2 linked regions of the Neodiprion lecontei genome follow. The protein of the gene in region 1 purifies or fractionates together with the protein of each later gene. This does not show direct contact. Links are inferred from orthologs where the notes say so. Each region holds a gene or a part of one and is shown in the gene's direction. Other genes may lie near its edges.

Region 1 (12,016 bases):
TCGGATTCTTATGTCTGAAAAGAGAATTTCATTTGATTAAATCGAAAATACTCAAAGATAATAGAATATTATTATTCGAGCATGTCGCAATATTGAATCTACGATAAATTGAAGATACTTACTGACAAGATTTCGAATCTTGTGATCAGGCTTGGCAATTTCTAATATCTGAGCACTGAGAAGAGACTCCAGCTCTGGAGACAATTCTGAAGCACCAATTTCCTTCAGTGTTTCCTTGACATCGGCTGTAACTTGCAGTACAATGTTGACCATCACAGTTGCCAGCTCCCTGAAATAAAAAAATGTTGAGAAACTAAATCAGACAAAGTTAACGCTTCAAAATTTGATTATCATGAAAGCTTGTAAAATTTTCTAGCAATTCTAAAATCATAAGGGATTAATCGCAAATAGTGTTTGAACCTACTCGTTGGAATGAACGGATTCCAAAAGCACGGCGAGATGCTGTTTCATGCTATTCTTAAAACTCGTAACCCCTTGAAGGGGGGCACCAATAGTGTTGTTAGTTACCAGCAACACTGATCCTGCTATGCATAATCTACAGGTTCGATCGCGTAATTCTACCAATCGCCCTTGGTCCATCATCAGCGTCTATGATAGGAATAAGAAACAGTATAGTACATGTAGAATGTTACTAAATTCATCTTGCACAGTTATATAATGAACAATAAGCTTAAGTACCTCTGCATCTGGATTGAATTTCCATTCTAAGAGGTCTAAGTACGCCTCAGTTAGTAAGCTGTGTGTAATTTGACGAACTGCATTGATATCCGTGGAAGATGTGGTCAATTTTTCCATATCCAAATTTCGGAGCAGCCATTTTCTCGTTAACTGGAGACCATCTTCATTGACCTTCAAAAACTCAGCAAATTTCTTTTTTTCATATTCAACACTAGATGCAACAATCTCAGGTCTTATCAAAGTTATCGTGAAGTTTGCCATGTCAAGCTTCATCAACTGCAAAGTTTCCAAAATTCCCCTAAATGTCTCAATAACATCGGTCGATGTTGCTAGCTCTGCAATCTTTTCATCCCTGACTGGTGCGCACAATTTTGCCATAATGGAGATAATAAAGTTAGCGTAATGATGGAAATCTAAAATTCCCTGCTCTGCCTGCTGTTTAATTAAATCAATGTCCAGGACCTCGTTAATGTTTTCTCGTATCTTCGTATGCCGAGGCAATAGGAGTTCTTCTAAAGCCTGAGGAGGTAAATCAGGGCCTTTTAATATTAACACACTTATGCAAATTCTATTCAGACCTATTTGAAAGCTGATAACTGGGAAATTTGAATTACCGTTTTTATTTCACCAAGAAGAGTTAATGCTTGATTAAAATTTGGTGGATCCTCGGCCAACTCTTGGGCTAACAGCTGCCAGAATATATTATGCATTGTTTCTTTAACTTTTTTTTGAAAGCTGTCACTTGGTGGATCCAGCGTTTCCAATTTGAAATTTTTATCAAGAGCGATTTCGTGCGCTAGGGCCATATTGGTCATACCATTTGCTGCCTTCATTATTTCTTCAAAGGACACAAATTTCGGAGGAGATGCCCCGGTTAGGCCTCCAAGCATAAAGTTTTGTACCTGCGATCTATTTTGAAGAAAAAATTTTTGAGTTTTCTTTTCAAATGATTTGTTTAAAAACTTGTGCACTAGGCACTAGAATTTTAAATTGATAAACTCACTGTTGCGTGTTCTTGTTTTCAGCTGATCTTTGATTGTCCACACGAGTTTCTACTGGCGCGCTAGCCTGGTTATTATTACATTTTTGCTCCTCTTCATTTTTCATTTTATCACCTCTGTAACAGAAAGTCTGAGATTTATTAAAGTTCAGAATTAAGTTTAGACACACAACAGTTCAAGGGTTTTTAATATATATTAATTGCATGAATTTTTTGATTTCTATTAAAATTTGCACCAATTAAGTGTCGAAGATATATCGCAGTAATTGCTTTAAGTACTGACCGCCAAAGAAAAGCAGGGATTAAACTAAAGAATATCCTCGAGCCTGGCAATTTGCGATTGAACAAGAGACAACAGATCGTAATTCCCCATACCACACCAGCACTGCGTAAAACTTTATACCTGCAGTACAAATAGGGCAATAAATTACAATCTTACCGAAAGGCAATCTAGAATTAATCAAATTCAAATGAGTCACAGTCAAATCTATGTTAAATATTCCATTAAAACGGACAATCTTTACTCTAATGTTAGGACTAGTAAAGAATTTTCAATTGCGATAGACTTAATAAATCTGGGGTCTGAGGATAAATTTTTCACTTATTGACACACCTGTCTAACATTGTTCTATCAAACTTTAAAATTCAAATTGAAAGACAAAACACTTGGAAATTAGAAGCAACGCGGTTTGAAGTAAAATTCGACCACTAGCTGAATGCTCTAACAGCTGTAGCCAAAGAGGTCAGACGCTATCTATAAAAAGAACTTCATTTGGTGCAAGACAGTATGGAAACACACAGCCACTTTCCAGAGTGTTTATTTTGTTCCTTGTGATCGCTAATTCCTATTTCCAATTTGTCGGTCAGACATTAAAACTGTTTGCATAAATTTATTTAATTTATTCACTAACTTAAGTGTGTATAAATAATGGTAACACAATGATGATTTACTCTGAATTAAACGAATAGGGAGAGAAAAGATTTTCCTTAAATAAGATATGGAAATTGTTATTTATTTTTCAATACAATGAATATTAACATGCAATCACTTAATCAATAATCAATGTAGAATTGACGACTTTTTTCTTTTTTCTTTGTAACACGGACAACAGAAGTTTAGCAGGCAAAGATAACACTTTGTAAACCCATGTATATAACAAGTATGAGGATGTATTGATCTGTTTGTAAACACGAAAAGTAAATCTTGAGGTTACATTTTTAATAACATTCATGATAAGATGTAGTTTTAACTGGGATCAAAAAGCACGAAAAAAAGTGTAAATTTTAGATAAGTACCGAAATAATGATGCGTCATTGAAATTATTCTAGAAAATTCCATCACAATTTAATGCAGTACCTATATCACTACTAACTGCGTATCGGCAGGTGAATGACACATCGTTCAAATGATTCATTCACCTTGAAAGGATTCAACGAAAAAAAAGTAAAAATTATAGTAACATCGGCATTGTACCTTTACTGCAGATTGTTCGAAAAATATTTGAAATAGTGGTGCAGTCTATATGGGTATAAAACACTTTTAATTTACTGGAATTCAGAAACAAACACCAATTACAAGTTAAAAATGGTTAATTACGTCCGGAACAGCTGTGATACTGTTTACAACTTTGAAGCTTGCTACGAGTGCTGCGGGCTCGTGTGACTGCTGTGAAGTGCAGCGAAGGCGACTGGAGTCTGATGGAGAAAAGTGAAGTTGGCCAATATTTATTGACAGCACCAGCCTGCAGCAGCCGACAAGCAGACGACACCCACCTGCGCAACTCCTTTGTCTTTCACTCGTGGCAACTCGTTGATTTTCATTTTTATATTCTCCCAAAATGGGTACGAGAACGTCTGGCAGCTTGGACCGTTGTAGTTTTCCTTGAATTTATTTTTCCTCTTCCTTGGGAAGTCGACCCTCAATCTCCATAAAGTCTGTTCCTATATAATACGAGATCCTCTAATATAGATCCTCGAGTTAAACGTGGTCAAGACATTAACACGTGGGCCTCAGTAAACAGTAAACGTAAAGTTGCTGCGTACATTTTACGTGTGATGTGGCGTGGCGCAACTTTTACATGCTGCAAAATTGGAATTCTTCATTCCAGAAAAATGATACTGGGTAAATCTCAGAATCGATCACTATTCTTTTATATGTAATTATATTTTTGTCAACAAAGTCACATTTTTCATATCTTAGGACAATTTCCACGGAAGTTGAGGGCAGTTAGAGTATTGCTCTCGAAAGATTGTTATGCACCAATTCAATGTCCTGAGCCGTGCGAAAATACTTGTTTAATGGACGAATTGCCAGTTCCCTGTGGATCGTGGCAACAGAAGTTTGATACGAAGATGAGGCAGTCTAATAGAGCTTTAATGATCGGAGGAGGATTTTTCATATTCACTATAATAGCTGTACGAATGTCAATGCATCCCTGAAATCTCAACCTAAATTATGCCTTTTAATCATAAAAGTGTCACTCTAATTTCTATTTTCACAGATGCACAAATTCGGATACGTTCGAGGATACAATGTTCCGCTATTTTACTGACAAAGTATTGAGAAACGATTGGAACAAGAATTGTTTCTGTAGCACTCCAATAAATAAATCTCTTGAATTAGTCGATGTTCATTACGTTATTTGTTTTCAATCGTATTCTTTACATCTTGCAGGGATAAAATGCGATATCTAATCTATAAACAATGTTAACGTCATGTCCCCCAAGTTTTTTAAATTCTAGGATTCTCTGTCCAGGTCCGCTCGGTAAGACAGAGCGCTGTCTAAATGCGGAGCGAAAAAATATATGTTTAGTTCCTAGCGTGTTGGTCACAGGTGGCGGCATCAGAGGCACAAATCGAAAATTTAACTATAACCGGGATTATCGCCATATTGCCCTTAGAGTCTAGGGCCGCGCGCCCGTAGCACCAAAAGTAATTTGTGAAAATGTTAAGATACGGGTACGCGATCAAGAATTTATCAAAAATTACAAGAAAACCATGCCTGAGCTACGAGCAGATTCCTTTAAAATATATCGGTGAGTATAAAACGAAAAAATTATTTGATTGTCAAGTTAAAGTCTATCGAATAACTTCCGAAAACCTCATGCGGCACCGTGATGTTTTTCTAGACTATTCGAAGATTTTAACACGTACATTTAGTAGTCGATGATAAGCGAGTCCTAAAGTTGTACAAATAATCAGAAAGAAAATACGAATATTTTTAACTGTCCTCCTTTCGTTCAGAAAACTAAGTATCGTGTCAGATTTTTCACTGATTTCCCTACACCTTGAACCACCCTGCGGCGATTATTTGACTTCAGTTAACCTACAATTCAAATATAATTTTCAGTAGATTTCGTGAGTAAGACATCATTTTAGTTTCTAATTTTTTTTTGCACATAAAAAATTTCAGGTATTATAAATGCCAGTCGAAACTACAGCGATGCCGGTGATAAGAAGCCGGGTAATCCTAACAGACCACCTGGCACTACATTGAAAGCGGAAGAATGCATTCCTTCAAATCAGTCGAAATCGAAGGGATCATTTTCCTCAGATCCTGTTTGTCCAATCGATCCGAATGTTGAATGCCCTTTGAGTCCCAACCGGGATTGTGGTAAAAGGCCAGAACCATTCGAGGAGGATGGCAACCGCAAGAAGCAGCAACGGGTATGGATGCAATTGCTGGCTGCTCTCTTCATCACTGGAGCCACCATGTACATGGTAACTATATTGAGAAAGAAACTTTTCACTTTAGGGAAGTAAAGTTGCAATATTTATTTGAAGAAATTACAATTCTTAATGCTTTTGCAGGTGAATCGAATGGGCTGGTTGCAAACATCTGAAACGCTTCAAATACCGAAACAAAGTAAGACTAGAGTTGTGATAACTAATATTGCACATAATATATCAAAATGAGCCAGTTTATTATCACTCAGTAAAATATGATTAGGCCTTAATGAAATGAATAAGTTTACTGAACTAGAAGGTAGAGATAAAAGTGTAGTACTTATCTGCCACTCAAATTTTATTATTGGTCTACGGAGTAGTTACTACAATTTATATTTCTTTCTCCCAGAGAAGAAGAAAAAAGCAGAGAGAAAGAAAGTTAAGATTCCAGCTGTCTCTTCAGAAATAGTAACAGAAATTCCTTACCTCTTGATCGGGGGAGGAACAGCTGCTTTCTCAGCATTCAGGTCTATAAAATCAAGAGATCCCACAGCAAAGGTAGTTGATTCTACAGATTCTCATAAGAATTGGATTATTTCACACTATTCATTACTTTAGGTTCTGGTTGTAACGGAAGAAGGGGACCTCCCCTACATGAGGCCCCCGTTGTCCAAAGAGCTTTGGTATAACAAAGACAGAGAGACTACAGAGAAATTAAAATTCAAACAATGGAACGGGTCAGACCGAAGGTAGTCACAATATTATGATCCGGTGGATAATCTGAGCTTTAATGCAGTTTTTACCATGCAATTGAATAACTCACTCGTTTTCTCCCCAGCTTGTTCTATGAGCCTCCAGAATTTTACACTCCTGTTCCAGAATTAGCACAATCACATAAAGGAGGTATCGGCGTAGCTTTAGGATGGAAAGTTAGTCAAATTGACGTCGTTAATAGGACGGCAGTACTTGAAGATGGTCACAAAATAAAATATGAAAAATGTTTATTAGCCACTGGTGTGTTTACCTTTCGAAACAAATAATGCTATATACTAAGTATTCTATCGTGATATTTAATTCAATGAAAAATGAATTCTATAGGTGCCTCGCCCAAGAACCTTCCAATATTTGAAACTGCGGATGATGCAGTTAAAAGTAAGATCGTACCATTCAGAACAATAGAAGACTTCCTCAAGCTAGAGGAGAGCATTCGTGATTCAGCAGTACAGAATATAGTTATTGTTGGTGGAGGATTCCTTGGTTCCGAAGTTGCGTGTTCTTTGGTCAGAAACTGTAAGTGTTACTCTGCACCTTCGTTGCACAACTCGGTTATCAACCATTTTTTAGTTGATTGGTGCTACAGATTATCTAATGAAAGGAAAAAAATTCAAATGGACTCAAATGTGTGTGAATAATCCTGGCAGGTATCGTGAAAATGCTCTGGTGACTGAGTTTTGAATTTTGCAGTAAATCCAGACCAAAAAACGGTTCATCAGATCTTTAAAGAAAAATACATAATGGCTCAAGTGCTGCCTGAATACTTGAGTGAATGGACTACGACCAAAGCAATGCTCGAAGGAGTGAGATGTATGCCTGAAACTGAGGTTGCAGATGTCGAAATGAAGGGTGGGCACTTGAAACTAATTTTAACAGATGGTTCCAAAGTGAGTAAATCCTTAATTTACAAAATGAAGGGCATAATGACTAAAGATTTATATTTTTGTAACTGGGAATTTCTGTGTTTGTAATTAACAGATTGACGCAGATCAAGTAATCGTAGCAGTTGGTGCGCAAGCGAATACTCAATTAGCTCAATCTTCTAATCTTGAAATTGACACAAAAGTTGGTGGTTATCTTGTTAATGCTGAATTAGAAGCAAGGAGCGATTTATGGGTCGCAGGGGATGCAGCTTGTTTCTATGACGTGAGATTGGGCAGAAGGCGAGTTGAGCATCACGATCACGCTGTTATATCTGGAAGATTAGCAGGCGAAAATATGACTGGCGCTGGTAGTTTAAGTTTTCTTTGTCCATAGATTTGATGCTTAATAACAGCAGAAATAGCGTTTACTGCAACTTATACCAATCAAATAGCAGTACTCATCGATTAACTTGTAGAGCATGAATCTATAAACTTGCGTCCTGTTTCAGGTAAACCCTACTTGCATCAGTCCATGTTCTGGTCAGATCTTGGACCTGAAATTGGTTACGAAGCAATAGGGATCGTTGACGCATCCTTACCAACAGTAGGGGTCTTTGCTAAGGCAACGGATCAAGACACCCCACTTGCTGCTGTCACTGCATCCAACGAGGGTTTGAGATCAGTTAGTGAAGAGGTGAAAATATGCAGTTTGGTTTATCTTTGGTTTATCTCGAAATATCATACATCATGTTGCATTATGATTGTAAGCAATTTTTACTGTTCTTAGTTTAATTGTATATTCTTCCCGCAGCACAATTCACAGGGTAACAAATCGGCAGCAATTATACAAGCAACACCGGTATCCCAGAAGCACGCACCTGTAGAAGGGTTGAAGTCAGCAGAGTCTATAAAGAATGTCAAAAGTGACAAAAAAGACAGTAAATCATGTGAAGACGAGGGAGGAAATAAAGTAGAGAAGCCCCGTGACGACTTTGGAAAGGGAGTTATATTCTATATACGCGATGACGTCGTAGTCGGCATTGTCTTGTGGAACATATTCAATCGCATGTCCATTGCTCGACAGGTAGGCTACTACTTTCATGGATTTCTATGCTCATTTTCCAGTGGGCATGATATATTTGGGATCTGATAAAACGAATAATTAACTCTCCAGGTTTTGGCTAGTGGAACAAGGTACGACGATCTGAACGAGGTAGCTAAACTGTTTAGCATTCACGAAGACTGATGGCACTGAAGTTGCATTTACCATCGAATCACTGTTTGTAAATATTCGTGTTACTTGCTATCTAGTTCTTGTATGTATTTTACACCCTGTACTAAGGTACGATCTCTAATGATTTGACAGATAAACTTTAGGAAACATAAAATATTGTAGATATCATTTCTCTTAGAATCAGGAAGTTAGTGTTTTATCCGAAACCCGGGTAATTGTCACATTTTCTCGCAATCGTACAAAGTCTATGTGCATTTATATTACAATAAATATATAAATATCGAACGCTAAATTATGCACATTGTTAGAAAATAAAGGACATCATTGATGGTGAATACGGATGATAGTTTTTATTCACCGTTAAGTAAATATTCTGGTTTTAATTGTTTAGTGACTCTCATCACCTGCAAAAACTATGCAGTAGTAACAGTAATCAACATACATTTTATTGTAATTTCCTGCGTACACTGTGCTTAATTAAATGATTGTCATATTAAAGTATTGTGCTTATTGCAGTACTTGTTATTACTTCTGGAAGAAGTTCGGTCTTGGTAATTAGATAGGAAATCATGTAACTAACGCTGCCTCTTGGTATGTAAGCAGGGGCAAAGTCATATTGCGATACCGTTTCGATAAAAGATCCATCAATTGTAAATGATTTCCAGATCGATAGTCAGTTAAATCCTGTAACATTGAAATCATATGTACGATAAAATTACTGTGATTTTTGAAAACTCTCGCTGCTTTAAGCTACGAGAATAATTTTACGCACCATATGTTCTGGCCACATTTTTCCAGCCGTTACATCTTCTAAAAGTTGGTTTTGACTGTAGTGTAACAACGATGTACAGTAATACAACGGATAGTCAGCTGGATACAAAATACAAATGGTTAGCAAATGTATGATTTCGCACCATGGTAGTATCCTCCAGAAACATTGAGATATGATTTCATCACAAATAATCCACCAGTCTGTACCGCAGTTGTTCTGTGAAATTTGACAGACACATATTATTTTTAAGAAAAATTCCGGGTCTGAGTTTTGAAAAATCCACTATGTTAAGACAAAAACCTTTAAAGCGTATTTGATGCTAGGCAATTCATTTGCAACGATATTTTCCAGGAGATGTGAGAATGTGGTTTGAAAGTTTACAGGTAAATTCTGTTCACGACTCACAGCTTTCCCTAGCATAGGCCAAATGTACATAATCGATGGGAATTGAACTATTTGCGTGATGAAAGTTTTACACCTTGAAAAGTATACAACTCATTAGGAAAGTGATGTAAAATTGGTTTTGATTTTTACATTAACTTTGGCAGGTCAGTGATGATCCATTAAAACTGAGCCACGTAACTTTCAAGCTACTGCAATGACGGTGAAGTTTTCAATCTGAGACCTGCCTATGATGAAATATGGTTTGCTAGAGTCACTTTTTATGGAAAGTACAAGGTCTTTAACAAATTGCGGCAATTAGTTACAGAACTTTACTTCTGAAAAGCGTGATTCGCGGCCACCTGAGGCAACAAAATTAAAAATTGCGTATGCTCACCTGTCCATATCTCCATTACAAATAATAAAAACACTTGCAATGAACCAGTCGAATCCTTCAAAATTTTTTTTCCACCCGTAATACTTAATGAATCCGTGAACCTCTTTCAAGAAAATTTTCAAGTTTGTTTTCGCAAGTGACGTAACTTTCATAAGCCGATTTTGTTCTGCGTACAGCAAAGTTAATTCAATGCCGTAAACTTCTTGGGGCATCAGTGTGTCGTGATCATTATGCACTGGCCACTCGAAATGGTTTGTCAATTCTAATTCAGGAACTGCCTTTTGCATTTGATCAAGTAGATTAATCACGACGGAATGCTAAACATATTTGAAAAAATTTAACATCAGATCTGAAAAAGAGAAACTCTTATCTGCTGAAATTTGATGCTTACTTGTATTGGTTCTTTACTAGAAATCTTATGAGCTTTCCTCGCTTGTGACACCCATCCATTATCTCTGAGTCCAGGCTTATTTTCTTGGAGAAATCTTCCTAATTCTGAATGTAAGGGTATGGTGGGGCAAAGTTTTTCCACATCAAATTTCACAGGAGGCGGTAATTTAGAAAACAATTCTGTCTGCTCTAGCACTGCTGTATCACCAATGAATTTACTTATAATGCAATAGGATTTCAAAAGTACTTTGTGGCGAAGGAAACCTGCCTCATCAATTGCATATATTATTTTAAGTTCGCCATCGCTTTCTATCTCGATGATACACGTTTCTTGAAGATTGAGGAGTAGTTCCTTTACAAACAACAAAAGTTCACATTGATTTGTTGCATAAATCAAGCTGTAGATACTTTGAATTCTTTTATAATTCGTACCTGATAATTCAGTACGTGCTTCAAAAAAATATTTGCATCCAAGCTATCGAGGAAAACGTTCAGCGCCATAAGCGCAAGGCAGTGATATGGTGAATTAGAGTTTACAGAATGTTGTAATAATTCCCATAAATTACTGGGGTGACTGTCTTCGCTAGATGAAATTTCTTGACTTGTATCATCCAATAGAGCGATGAAGCCTGTAAAAAATTATTGAAAAATAGGTTTCTGCATAATTTGAATATTAATATAACGTAAGAGCTGATTAAACGTACACAAGCTGTTCAACGACAATAGTCTTAGGATGTGTAAAAACTCTTTTACAACACAATCTTCCCAAGGATCATGAAAATTGTGAGGATCTTCTAACTTTGTGCAAATATCAGTTAATACTTTTGATAAGAAGTGAGGGGCTAGGTCTCTCAAGATCGTAAAACCCACTGGCTCCAAAGCCGCAGTGGACAAAACAGCAACAACGTTATTACAGCTCCAAGACGACTTGAGTGGCTCTATTGAGCCTCGCAACAGTTCTTCAAAAACTGACTCCTCACGAGTCAATAACTGTAAAGCGAGAGGTAGAGAAACCACTTTAAGCAGCATAGTCTTAATTGCTCTGTAAAAGAAAAATGAAATGAAGGAAACATTATCTAAAATTAAGAGCAAATGATATTTTCCTACCTATCGAGAGATTGCTTTTTCATTTCATTTTCCATCGAGTACTTATCCATTTTGTTGTACAGATGGGCGATTGCTGAATAAAATTCATCTTGTAAAATATATTTTACCACGTGACATACATCATAACACTCAAATAATCTTCCTATGAATTTAAGCAAATCAATCACATACTCTGTATTCATAATAGAAAGTGGTTGCCGCAACAAATCTGCAGCGTATACCAAAACTGCATTTGCTGGACAAGTAGCAGTCGATTTTTCTTTACAATTCAATGAGAATGCACTAGAGTTATGGATTATAAAGCGCGAACCTTCTTCCGTATTCAAGGCTCGCATCATCACATCTATCATGTGAGGATGTATTTTACGTTCAGTTTGGGGTGGTACTCTCAATAACGGATCAAGAGCTAGTTGATAAAACCTAGCATCATATAAAACTGATGGAGAATCGAGCAGCCTCTGCAAAGCTGAGCGAGAAATATCATAAATGCTTGCTGGGACTTCTGAAAGTGCTAAAATATTCAACGAATTCAACAGAGACAGCATAAAGTCAGGGACGTTGAACGGGTCATTCAGTTGAATTTCAGACAGTAACAGTCGACCAGCAGCCTTGCTGCAAAGCTGAGCTAAAAAGCACAGAGAATGGAGATACGTCACAGTCTTGACGGTGTCTCCAGAGATATTTACTTCAAATGGCTCATCGTTAATATGTGCCGTAAGAGCCGCTGGCGAT
Region 2 (11,775 bases), on another chromosome or scaffold:
CCAAAAATAGAATAAAGATGATGATACTTTGAGATTGGATTCGAATGAAAATTGGTAACGTAAGGTTTTTGGGGTTGTTGATCACGAATCTAAAATTAGATACGTGAAACACAAAATGGAGAATCTGATATTGTAGAAAAAAAATCTGAAAACATTCGGATTTTGTTAGTAATTAGTAGCTGGAGGATTTTTGGGTTACCGATAACGAATCCAAGGTCAGATTTCAAAAATTGATGTCACAGTGGATCCATTGCATTGGTTCAAAATAAAATCGTAATATTTTCATGTAACATGGTATCCGAGGGCCTTTCAATCTCTAATCACGGATTTGAATTTGTAGTTTGAAATTCGAATTTGATATCAATATTTTTTTGCTTTGTGAACATGGAACCTACGCTGTGAAAACCGGTAGTTCGAAGGCTGGCTTACGTTCAGTCTAAAGCGGCACGTTTTTTTTTTTTTATTTTAATATTTGTGTTCGACATTGCATGTATAAAATTGCTGTGAATATAGTTTATACTGTCACATCAACGATGTGTAGACTTTGATAATAGGAAGAAATTTTCTTGACTGTGGTTCAGTGATATAGGAAGGATAAAAAATCTTACTTATCCTTCCTATAGTTGATAATAAGTATCGCAAGTCCTTTCATTTCATTACATAGTTTATTGGATCGTTGCATGATAGAATACAAACAAGTCACTTTGTATGATGATCTCAGTTACAGTTATCTATAGATATGTTTGGTGTGCATCTTTCGGTGGGCGTTTTGTGCAATTCTGACACGGCTTCGTCGCGTGTTCAGTAACCTTTGTGGATATCATACTGTTAATATTACCAAATGCATATTCTGACGTGTACCCCTCTACTACACGATGCTATTACGTATATTACGTGAGTGATTTTGAACAAATCAAATGACCTCAGACGTAAAGAATCTTTTATTATGCATGTAACAATGATAAGGGAAAACTACAAATCATTTTTACGTTTCAGACACAAAATTTTTCATTTACTGTCGAGTAAACTTTGTAATAAATGTAAAATTTATTCTTTTGTATCTGTGTAATCTGTGGATATAATTGTTATATATTGAGAACAATACACAAACTTTAATCTGATTTCTGCACTACCTCCGTCAACGACTCGACTACTTTTTAGTTTTTGAGTACTAGTGCGTTAAAGTCGACTTTTACGCACTAGTGCTTTAATAAAAACTACAAAGTAGTCGAGTCGTTGACGGAAGTAGCACAGAAAATAGTATTTGTGGCATGTGCGCATATACGAGTACACCGAGAAAAGAAGTTATCGAACCAAACAACTAACTTTGTTGATCTACAGTTTATTTGGTTCGAAAGATTTCTCACTCAGAACAACTACTTTTTAGTTGAAACAAAAATATTGATGCATTGATTTGAATGCTATATATATGCTTTCGAGTTTAATGTATTTCAACCAGTTACATATTTATTACATTGAATTAAACTAAAAATTGCGGAACGACAACTTTGCTTGAATCAACAAACCTTATTTACTTCGTGAAAGAATAGTACTTTCACCGCTGAACACATCGATTCAAAAGTACCGAGAGATTAGAAACAATAATCCCACGCTTACTGATATATTAACGTTATTGCCAGATAGTATATTTGACTCAATGTAATATTTGTCCGACATATTCAATGATAACTACAATCAAAGAAATGTACAATATGTTGAAACAAAAATTTGTTTCACAAGACAAGTTTTAATATTCATTTAAGAATATTATTTTGTTCATCAAGTTATATATATATAGCAACTTCAAATAAAAAAAATCATTCAAGTAAATGAGGATATGTTTGAGTGGAACCAAGAAAGAGTTCTTGAGTTGCTATATGTACCACATTTAATTCAAGTTATCGACTAATACAATGAAATATAACTTTTCTCAGTTTGAAACAATCACATGTAGTTGAAATCTGCAAATATATACTTTAAATTGATTTCAAGAACTCTCGATACTTGCATACGCGCTCGAAACTAATGAATCATTGTTTCTACGAAATTAACATTATTTCACTGAAATAAAATTTTTGTTGAGTTGATAGTCTTCTGATTCTTTGTGTGCATGTTTCGTGTTTTTCAACCGAAATGATAAATTCATTCGAAGTGGTACCAATTTCGGTCAGTAGTCAGCAAGCTGTCCCGCTTGATAAGTAGCTTCAAAGTTTTTCATATACCCGAATCCTTCGCATTACGAATCTGCCAACCATATGTGATGCGATCTATCGGGCTATGGTTTTGATCCAATCATGTTTTCCAAACACTACTTAACTTTGGAGTGACGCTACTACAACTTGTTTGGTGGCAGTCAATGACAATAGTATATCGTATGAAGAAAATTTTTTTATTTATGTCACCCAGCAGCTAATTAAAACTACATTTACATATATATCCTAGAGCACTGCATTACGTGTTCGCAGAACTGGTATAACACTCAAATACTGAAGGAATCATTGAATCAATTAAATACATTATTAATCCAAATATGGGGTTAGTCGTTGTGATTTCAGTTTTTTCTATACGATGCCACTTCTTCTTTGAACGGAAGAATATCCCATTGGTCCTTGTAAACATCATTTGAGTAGAGCATGCAGCACTTGGACAAAAATATCAAACCTAAAGAGGAACTCCTGTGCGTTATGTCGCTTAATCTCTACTTAATTCATTTAAATTATTTTTTATTGATTCTAAATACGTATTTTTTAAATTAAAAACTACATGAATTGTGTCGCTTTGAATAAATGTGCTCTAAGTACTTTACAAACTCATGCATTATCTGTATCAATTAATATTTATTAAATCCAATAACGTTTTTTTTTAGTCTATGGATTTCTTGACTCGTATGAGTTTCGCACTTGCCTTTGGCTTGCGCGGAACTTGACACTCTTCAAAGAATCTCTATTTATGCGCACTTGCCACGAAAATAACTAATTTAGTTCAGTTGCGTTCACGCGCGATTCCTTTTAATTCTGACCGTCGGAATTTTCTAGAGGAAGAAATAAAATTAGCGTCGGCGACCTTCAACATAGTACTCTCCCCAGCTTATTTCTGACCCGCTGAAACATTTAAGGGCGGGGTCAGAATCGACCGTATTGTACGTCTCTGATGTACAATACACACCTATTTGGAATAGGTAGGAATATATGTATAATGCTCGGTCTTGGTATCGCAATCGCATGGCTGACTGGTGGGTTCCTAAATCTGTGATGATGCCGAGTTTAAACCGTGGCGGCTAGACATGATGCGTCAGAATGACGTGTCTAGTATCTCTCACGCAATAATCGTAATCGAACATGTCGTCATGGTGTGCAATAGAAAAAATCAACATTAAATACAATAGCTGGATGCTCACATAGTTCCAAGAGGGATGATATTGTTTTATAAACAAGTGAATTTTTACAAAAGTGCACAACATGAAAAACATCCGCGTTCGAAAGTATACGGCAATAAAATTTATCAAAGGATGGAATAATTGCTAAATTAATTCATATTTTATTAACAATATGGTTATACTGTTGTCTAATCAGCCTTATGCTTGCGATATTCGATATCGTTTTTCCACTGTACCCAAGCTAGGTAATCGTATGCGGTGCGATCATTGATGAATGTTATAACGTTGTCATTCTTACACATAAACACATTACATGAAGAACGCACGCATGAACATTATTTTTCGCATACACGCACATTCGTATGCTTCTGAAACCGGAACCTTACTATACACGTCTTACAATTAAGTCATACTTGTAGATAGCTCTATATAGCGCTGGCGGTGGGTATCCTTGAGACTTCCCACCATGCTTGAGGCTGCGGTCTCATGACGAGAAATGAGCATAACGTGGTCAAATAATACAGCCAATCATTTACAGTCTTTTACACTGAGGAATAATTGGCAATTGGTTACTATTCATTCCTTTGCATGATACAACGAATCCTCACAAACAAAAGCTTCCGAGTTACCGAAAATGTGAGAATCAAAAAAAAATTTATTTTCCCAATATGTACTTTCTCCTTATTTTCAGGAATCTTGCAATGCAATTAGAGAAACTAATAAATATGTTCTATTGCTAATTCGTTTATCAGAAACAACGACATATTCAAATTCTTGATCAATTAAGGGGGTATAACTGTGGAGATTTTGTGATGCGTAAGATATCAAAGTCCAAAAGTTTATATAAATTTATGTAAATGAGAAATATTTCTTTTGAATGATACTTGTAAAAAATTTTAATGATATAAAGTAACGGTATTTTCAAGATCATACATGCTGTGTACGTGAGGAACAATTATTAACAATTCCTGCATGATACAAAAAATAACTAGCAGTCTTAGCTGAATTCGAAGAATGTTTGAAGGAATAGAAAAATTCGACAATACTTTCGTCGCGCGACAAAAATTCAACAATGTGAAATTCAAAATTTCTGAACAATATCGCAGAGCAATCACACAAAATGCTCTGTTCCAAGTTCACAATAATCCGGAAAGATCGATCCATTCCAGATTCTATGGCAAAGAATTATACAAATCCTAAGAAATGAAAATATTGCATTATTATTCGGAAATTCTTTTATTCTTTTCAGTTTGATTGTTCCATCTTTCCTGTAGATATACAGTCTGCATTATTCGGAATTCTAAGTTTCGAATAATCGGTTAACTTGAAGGGAAATTTTTTCCGGAAGATATTGCAACAATTCGGTCCCTCGGTCATTATATGATTCACAATGACGTTCCCGCTTCCACATATGAAAAATAATAATCAAACGAAAGTGTATTGAGAGTGTGAAGGAAAGGCACTGCAGGTTCAATCCCAAATAATGAAGCCGGAAGTGACACCGTATGAAATAGTGATCAGGAATCGCTGAATGTTTCACGAATGTATTGTACATCGATTTTGTACTGATAACAATCCATTTATCGGTTCGGGTTTCTTCGGGAATTTTCGGAGCCACCTTCCACTACCACGTCGTATCCGCGACAGTGGCGTCACCGATACTGTGGCGGTATTCGTCGTTTGATCATTGGTCTCCACTCCCCAAGTTTTGCGTTCACTTTTTAACTGGGCAGTTCAGGTACAGCCTTCCAGTGCTTGTATATCGCGAGTTAGTACGAAGTTACCAAATCGAGTGACCGCATCGCGAAGTACGCCGCAGGAAAGCAACTCGTTCATCGTTAAAAATGGTTCTCCAAATTACTAGCTCGGTAAGTCCACTCCCTTTAACAATAAGTCAAAAATCGGAAGAACGCGAGAGAGTGAGAAACAAAATGAATACAAGTGACATGTTGAACGAGAACACTAACCAGATGAACAAGTTTAACCTAAAGATTATTACGCTGGTGAAGAAATAGGCGGGCGGATAACCTTGATAAGAAATAGAGAAGGAAATAATTGCTGCGTGGCGTGTTAGTTGTAGCTGGCAGAGTGACCGATGGACGTATGTCTTATTCCCGAAGTTAACCAAGTCCAGCGTTATAACCGTTATATCTTTAAGACTGTGCCGATTTGTAAAGAATATCACACTCGGTTGAACGCGTTCGTAGAGTGTGCTCTCAGTGCACACAGGTAGAAACTTTAAAGCCTAAGTACGCATTAGTACAGCACGTTTACGCATCCGAATTGTTTATCTGTTGATAATTGACCAACTATCTGAGCGATATCATTTGATAAAATGTCGGCACTCCTCTTCGCACTATTGCCTCATCAGGCTCACATACAACTTCGGCATTTTTGCCGCCTCTTTTCGGCCTCTTTTATCCTTCTCTTCGACTTTCGCTCCTCGACCGCCCGTATCACACTTGCTTTTGCAATATTGATCACACCAGAAATCGCGAGCCAAATAATTACGAATTCGAGAAATGTGATTCTCATTATGCAACACTATGCTCGGACATTCGTTTTTGTCCTTAGAGTACGTAGTTTATGCAGTACACTCTACGCAATCTGCAATTCGTCGGCTTAAGTACATGTAGGTTTATCGACTATGTAGTTCGCAATGCTCGATGCAATGTGCCGGAAATACTTTATTGATAACCGGCAAACAACCGTCGCTGCGATTACGAATGAAAACAGGCGTGATTCTCTAATTAACTGAACTGGATGCGTCGCTGATTTATCATGTTGAAGTTGGTAACGTTATCGTAACGATTTATGCGATTCATGCGAAGGAAAAACCGTCATAAAACAAAACATAATCATACTTCATGACATTGTAAAAATAAGAAAATAGTGATTTTTTCCCTATTGTTTCCTTAGGAACTTCAACCTTGTGATAATCTTGATTTTTAATGAACATAATCTAGCTCTTCGATGATATAACTTGGAATGTAGGTAGATTAGGAGTCATATTCACTTACGTAACAAATGACGATGAAAATAAATTCAAATACTTTCTTTATCACCGCAATGACGAAATCTATGTTAGATATATGTGCAGACGGATTGCAAAAAAGCGGAAAGACGATTGTGTGCGTTAGCTAATTTTCGCCCAGATATATTGTAACTATTTGCTATTTACCGAATTTTCGATATTTCGGTATCGGTATTGACAGAAGGTTCCCATACCGATACATTTCGAGCAAGGAGATGCCAAAAAAAATTCGGTATACCGAAATACCGCGCACCCCTAATTGTAACATGAATTGGCTCACGGATTTGTTTGGTTCTTTACTTTTCTCGTGACCCGGTGATTTGATGCACCTTTTAAGGACGTGCCCTTTAGTCGATTTCGACGTTGTCGTATATATCTCCAAATATCGAAGTCCACGTGTTTCAAACGCGAAAAAGAGCTTAACAGCCCAATTCTATACACCATTCTGAACAAAAACACTCGAATACATTTCACAATACAAATGGCACGGGTTTTACAAAATCGAAGAAATCGTAGAAATCATACCATTCCTTTATTTTTATGTTAAATGAAAATATTTTAGAATGGTTTTATTCAGAACTGTATGTAGAATGGGGCTGTTATGCCCTTTTTCACGTTTGAGATACGTGGACTTGGATAATTTGAGATGTATACGATAATGTCGAAATAGACTAGGGAACTTCCTTAATTAAGGAGATGTAGGAGTTAAGAAACAACGATTGAAGCGATTACAGCGTCACCGTATTCTGTTACACCGATTTTGTATCCATATTCTACATACAGTAAGTATCGAACATCTCTTAATTAATAGCGGGCACATCTTTATAACGGATGTTCTTAAAAAAATTTCCAGCAAAATGTAATAGTAATAGAACGGAAATTCTTCCGAATAGCAGATGTTGTCATCAGCGGACAATACTTTCATCCCCAAATAGGTTTCCGCTATCAGGAAGTTTCACTGTTTAATTCGTGTTTTAAATCATGGTTTAAAAATGTACTCAAAAATAAAAAGACCTATTGAATTTACGGCAACAAATCCTTTCTCCGTGTAGTATACAATGGAAACGTAATAATTACTTGATATTCTCCGCCTGTCTTACGGATCATGTCAATCGGTTATGTTGGGCAAGGAAAGTTGAAATGTATAAATACTTTGTTCACGAAAAATTGCATTTTCTTGACTACGTGGTAATATAATCTGTATCTCATGGAATACAATTCAATACTATTCATATTACGTCAGGTAAGGAGAATGTACTGCGGGGAACTAAATGTTTTCGACACCGCAAGAATGACTTGTTGGAATAGCGTTAATCAAAGTACAGGTCAACGAGATAGTTTGTTGTCATCTGTTTGAGCTATATATAGAGCATGCGTGTACAATGTTATATACATCTCAATTAAGAGTAATACATTCCGCGGTCTATTGAATCTTTTTCACAAACTACGACACTTCGCGCAATTCACAAAACCATGACCGCGCTATATTCCTTGGGGGGGGGGGTATATATACATGTGTGTGATGTAATTCGGTTGGCATAATCGTCAAATATCTTGATAAGGATTTGGAGCAGTTTTGCCAAATTTTCGAGTATGAAATTTGCCAGATCTCTTGGAGATGTTGTACAATTTTATCTGAAATTTTGAAGAGACTTATTACATTTTAGCGAAACCTTACAAAAGTACGCAACAAAATCTTGTACAGTTTACCGAAATTTTTTAAATCTACGAATAGAATTGTTTCATTGAAACTCAGTAACATTTTGCACAGTTTCGTGATATCGTATCCTATTGAAGGTTGGCTGAAAGTTTTATCGAATTTTACGTTATCTTAAAAAATTACATGAAATTTGACTTCGTATCACGTAATCTTGTCATGTATTTAGGTAATATCCAAACTTGAGATAAAGTTTGAAAAATCATATGAACTTTCAGTAATCCTGCAATCGAATGAAATTTTATGATGGTCCACGCAATTGGTCCAAGTTTTAATGTGTAACACTAGGAAGGTCGACCCCTTCGATTTTGATCTAGTTCATATATGTTGTTGTTGTGCACCAGAAACTGAGAGACTCATATATTTTTTTATCTGCTAATAAACGGTTTAGAGGGATACAAACAACTCCCAAAGATGGGCACCTAACGGGGTGATTTTTGATGCGCTTGATGGATTTGAATGAAACCAGCGGTGAAATGTTTTATTAAGGAATCGAAACATTTCAGCATTGGTTTCATTTAAATCCATCAAACGCATCAAGAAATCACACCCATTGGGTGCCCAATTTTTCTAACGTGTCCATGACTTGCAATAACGATGTTTAGTTTTCAAAAGTCTGCAATTCTGATTATTCAAACCTGTTAATATTACAAAACATTTTTGAGAACATAGATAAACAATATTTGATTGATGAATAAGGACATCACTAAGGCAATTGTCAATTGTTGGACTTTAAACACATTAGCAAGTGTCTAGTATCTAAAAAAGAACGATAACACATACTTTTTATTTGTATTGCCAGACAGAAGTATCTGGGTTGTCAAAACTATGACATGAAATCAATCGATTCTAATGACTGTGAGATACTGTTATATATTTATGTGCGATAGAATTTAGCAGGTACTGAAAAGTTGAGAGGTATAAACTATTTATAGGTTTTGTACACTAAGCCGAGGTTTTAGAGTCTGACAAAATGAATGTATTACATGCACAATTATATTACTGATAAAACTGGAATAATTTGTGAGAGGAAATTCAATACCTATACATACCTATTTATACAAATTGAGACGCCACGTTATACCCTCATAAATTATTCCAGAACTCTGGCATAATAAATTGTTTCGTGCAGAAGCGTGTTTTCACGTAATATACTAAGTCTAAATTACCTGGAATATTTATACTAAACATGTCATTTTTTGCCATTTAGTAACAAAATCGATATTATGATTGAGCTATCTTCAACGTTCTATAATACTATTAATAGGACTACAAACCTTGATTAACATACCCCACGACAGAGTAGGACTTGGCCTTGTTTTTCCTGGTTGCCGTGACAACATTTTGTACATATAAAAATTTCCTTGAAGAGAAACAATGGTCATGTTAGTTCTTCACTGTTAAATCAGCATATTGTCAAAGGTGAATTCTATGACCCATAGTTGATATACTACAATATTTAGTACGCAATTCATTTAATTGTCGTCTTCTGAGCTCATCTTACTTTCCCAATTTTTTTAATACACTCGACCTGCATTCTTTAGTTGAAATTAACTGGCAGTTTTATTAGGATTATGTATTAATATTCGCTTGCACGTTTGTATACACGTGTTTAAAGTCCGCACAATTAGCTAATTTAATGTTTGTACGACTTTGCCTGCTTAAATTAATTACAACTTGGGATAAAGGAACATTTGAAAAACAGTGGTTTACTTTCGTCAAGTACAATTGTTTCGAGAAATTTATCATGTTGAAGTTAGTAACCTTATCCTAATGATTCATGCTAAGGAAAAACCACCATTTCGCAATTTTGTTATTGTTTTCAATTCAACGAATCATAATAAAACATAACAGACTCATATTTCAATATCTTAGTTCCTTCAAAGTCATTGTAAAAATAAGAAAAGAGTGATTTTTTCCTCAATGTTTCGTTTCTATAACATTATTAACTTCAACCTCGTGAAATTGAATATTGTTCATGTGTTAATATAGTATAGCGAGACGACTCTTTACAGTTCAGTTATCGTGGTGTTCTGTTCATGAAAATAATTCATTTCTTATCGAGCACTTTTTTCTTAATAAACTAAATCAATTTCTCTGCTCTATTTTTAGGCTGATCTCAAGGCCAAATTGAGTGAGGCTGGAAATACGCTGGTCGTCATAGATTTCTTTGCTACTTGGTGCGGACCATGCAAAATGATTGCACCAAAGCTCGAGGAATTGTCCAAGGTAAAAACAAAATGCTAATTGCAGATGGACATTGAATTTTTATACAATTCCATTTCAATGTGAACTTGTGCAAATTTATTTTCCTGTTTCCTCTCCAGGAACTCAATGACGTTATCATCCTCAAAGTTGATGTCGACGAGTGCGAGGATATTGCCTTCGAGTATGAAATATCCAGCATGCCCACCTTCGTTTTTATAAAAAATTCTGCTGTGGTAAGAAGCTTCTCACATTATTTTTTTCTACTCTGAATATTTTCTACTTCTGTTTGCGCCGCAAATTACATGCTGCATGAAATATTTGTTAATTAAATATCGCAAATTATTGTTTCAGCTGGAGTCATTTGCCGGTGCTAATTTTGACAAACTAAAAAACACCATTCAGAAACACAAGTGAAAATCTGTGAAAAGAAATCTATTCCATTATTTTTAATTGTAAACAATGCTAAACACAAATAATTACATACATATATATGTATACGTATGAGTATATACAAATATATACATGTATATATATATATACGTATGTATATGTATATAGAAATCAGAAATTGAAATATTCCGCTCATTTTTAAGCTTATTGTCAGTGCGTCATTTGTCGACGAAAAAATCCAGTAAAAAACTGTTGTGCTGTGCCGTCGCACAGATATATTATTATTACATACCAATCTGTATACAATAAACAGTTTAATGTTCAGTTTTGTTATTACTGAAGTAGAATGAAAATAAAGGAAAGGAAACATTGGAATTTAATCATTGATGCTGTAATTATGCACTTGTATCATATAATCATACTCATCAAGTATTATGATTATACAATCATCAGTAATTTTTCAGCCAAATCATTTTCATTCGCTTTATATCGGCCTTTTTATAAAATTCATTGCAGTACATAACACTTCGATTTAAGTTGCTATCGAATATCTGTCCGATTTGTCTACAAAAAGCAATTGTATTTTATGATAGAATACAATACAGACGGTAGAATATATTGGTAATATAAAATAGGTGTCAGATTTAGTTGATTAGTTATGACTGCGATAATGCTAATTAAAATATTTTCTGTCACTGTGTTAATGTAAGGTAACAAACCAAGGAGAATCCATTTTAGAACAAGTTCAATCCATCCGTTTGTTTTCAGTAATTTAGTAAAGTTTTCTTAAAAAAAAAAAAAATTGATAAATATGTGATTATAAAAGTTACAGAAAGTGTATGATCTGTTTTTTAGTAATTGTACTTAATTAGTTGACAATACGCGTTGATTAATACGAATCACAAGCTCCAGATACAAAAATGAATTGACAGATAAATGAACAAAAGAACACTGTTATCGCAGTAAATGATATCATTTATAAATATGATGAAAAAACTCCATGTAAATCATGTCGACTGCGGTTAAAAATGACACACAAACGAATTCGTA

What was found.
Region 2: the proteins of apoptosis-inducing factor 1, mitochondrial (region 1) and thioredoxin-2 purify together in Homo sapiens (affinity purification with mass spectrometry; 3 studies listed by BioGRID and IntAct, with this or other methods). This does not show direct contact. The link is inferred for Neodiprion lecontei from reciprocal best matches to the Homo sapiens genes AIFM1 and TXN.

The regions. Positions count from the first base shown.
Region 1 is NC_060265.1:5,858,193-5,870,208, forward strand, and holds apoptosis-inducing factor 1, mitochondrial, read left to right. Parts: upstream 1-4,571; 5' UTR 4,572-4,644; coding exon 4,645-4,735; intron 4,736-5,112; coding exon 5,113-5,420; intron 5,421-5,510; coding exon 5,511-5,565; intron 5,566-5,775; coding exon 5,776-5,924; intron 5,925-5,984; coding exon 5,985-6,115; intron 6,116-6,204; coding exon 6,205-6,380; intron 6,381-6,464; coding exon 6,465-6,656; intron 6,657-6,830; coding exon 6,831-7,027; intron 7,028-7,118; coding exon 7,119-7,371; intron 7,372-7,512; coding exon 7,513-7,697; intron 7,698-7,814; coding exon 7,815-8,087; intron 8,088-8,177; coding exon 8,178-8,249; 3' UTR 8,250-8,804; coding exon of another isoform or gene 8,805-8,921; 3' UTR 8,922-9,009; coding exon of another isoform or gene 9,010-9,225; 3' UTR 9,226-9,309; coding exon of another isoform or gene 9,310-9,487; 3' UTR 9,488-9,787; coding exon of another isoform or gene 9,788-10,104; 3' UTR 10,105-10,178; coding exon of another isoform or gene 10,179-10,529; 3' UTR 10,530-10,609; coding exon of another isoform or gene 10,610-10,806; 3' UTR 10,807-10,881; coding exon of another isoform or gene 10,882-11,206; 3' UTR 11,207-11,383; and 1 more. Other genes in the region: T-complex protein 11-like protein 1, read right to left, coding at 1-14, 123-289, 425-609, 700-1,218, 1,314-1,608, 1,703-1,816, 1,983-2,102, 2,313-2,323; uncharacterized protein LOC107221093, read left to right, coding at 3,538-3,541, 3,669-3,821, 3,900-4,114, 4,201-4,251; protein broad-minded-like, read right to left, coding at 8,805-8,921, 9,010-9,225, 9,310-9,487, 9,788-10,104, 10,179-10,529, 10,610-10,806, 10,882-11,206. UniProt on the Homo sapiens protein: Functions both as NADH oxidoreductase and as regulator of apoptosis.
Region 2 is NC_060262.1:7,921,215-7,932,989, reverse strand, and holds thioredoxin-2, read left to right. Parts: upstream 1-5,052; 5' UTR 5,053-5,220; coding exon 5,221-5,244; intron 5,245-10,239; coding exon 10,240-10,356; intron 10,357-10,454; coding exon 10,455-10,568; intron 10,569-10,685; exon of another isoform or gene 10,686-10,686; coding exon 10,687-10,749; 3' UTR 10,750-11,105; downstream 11,106-11,775. UniProt on the Homo sapiens protein: Participates in various redox reactions through the reversible oxidation of its active center dithiol to a disulfide and catalyzes dithiol-disulfide exchange reactions.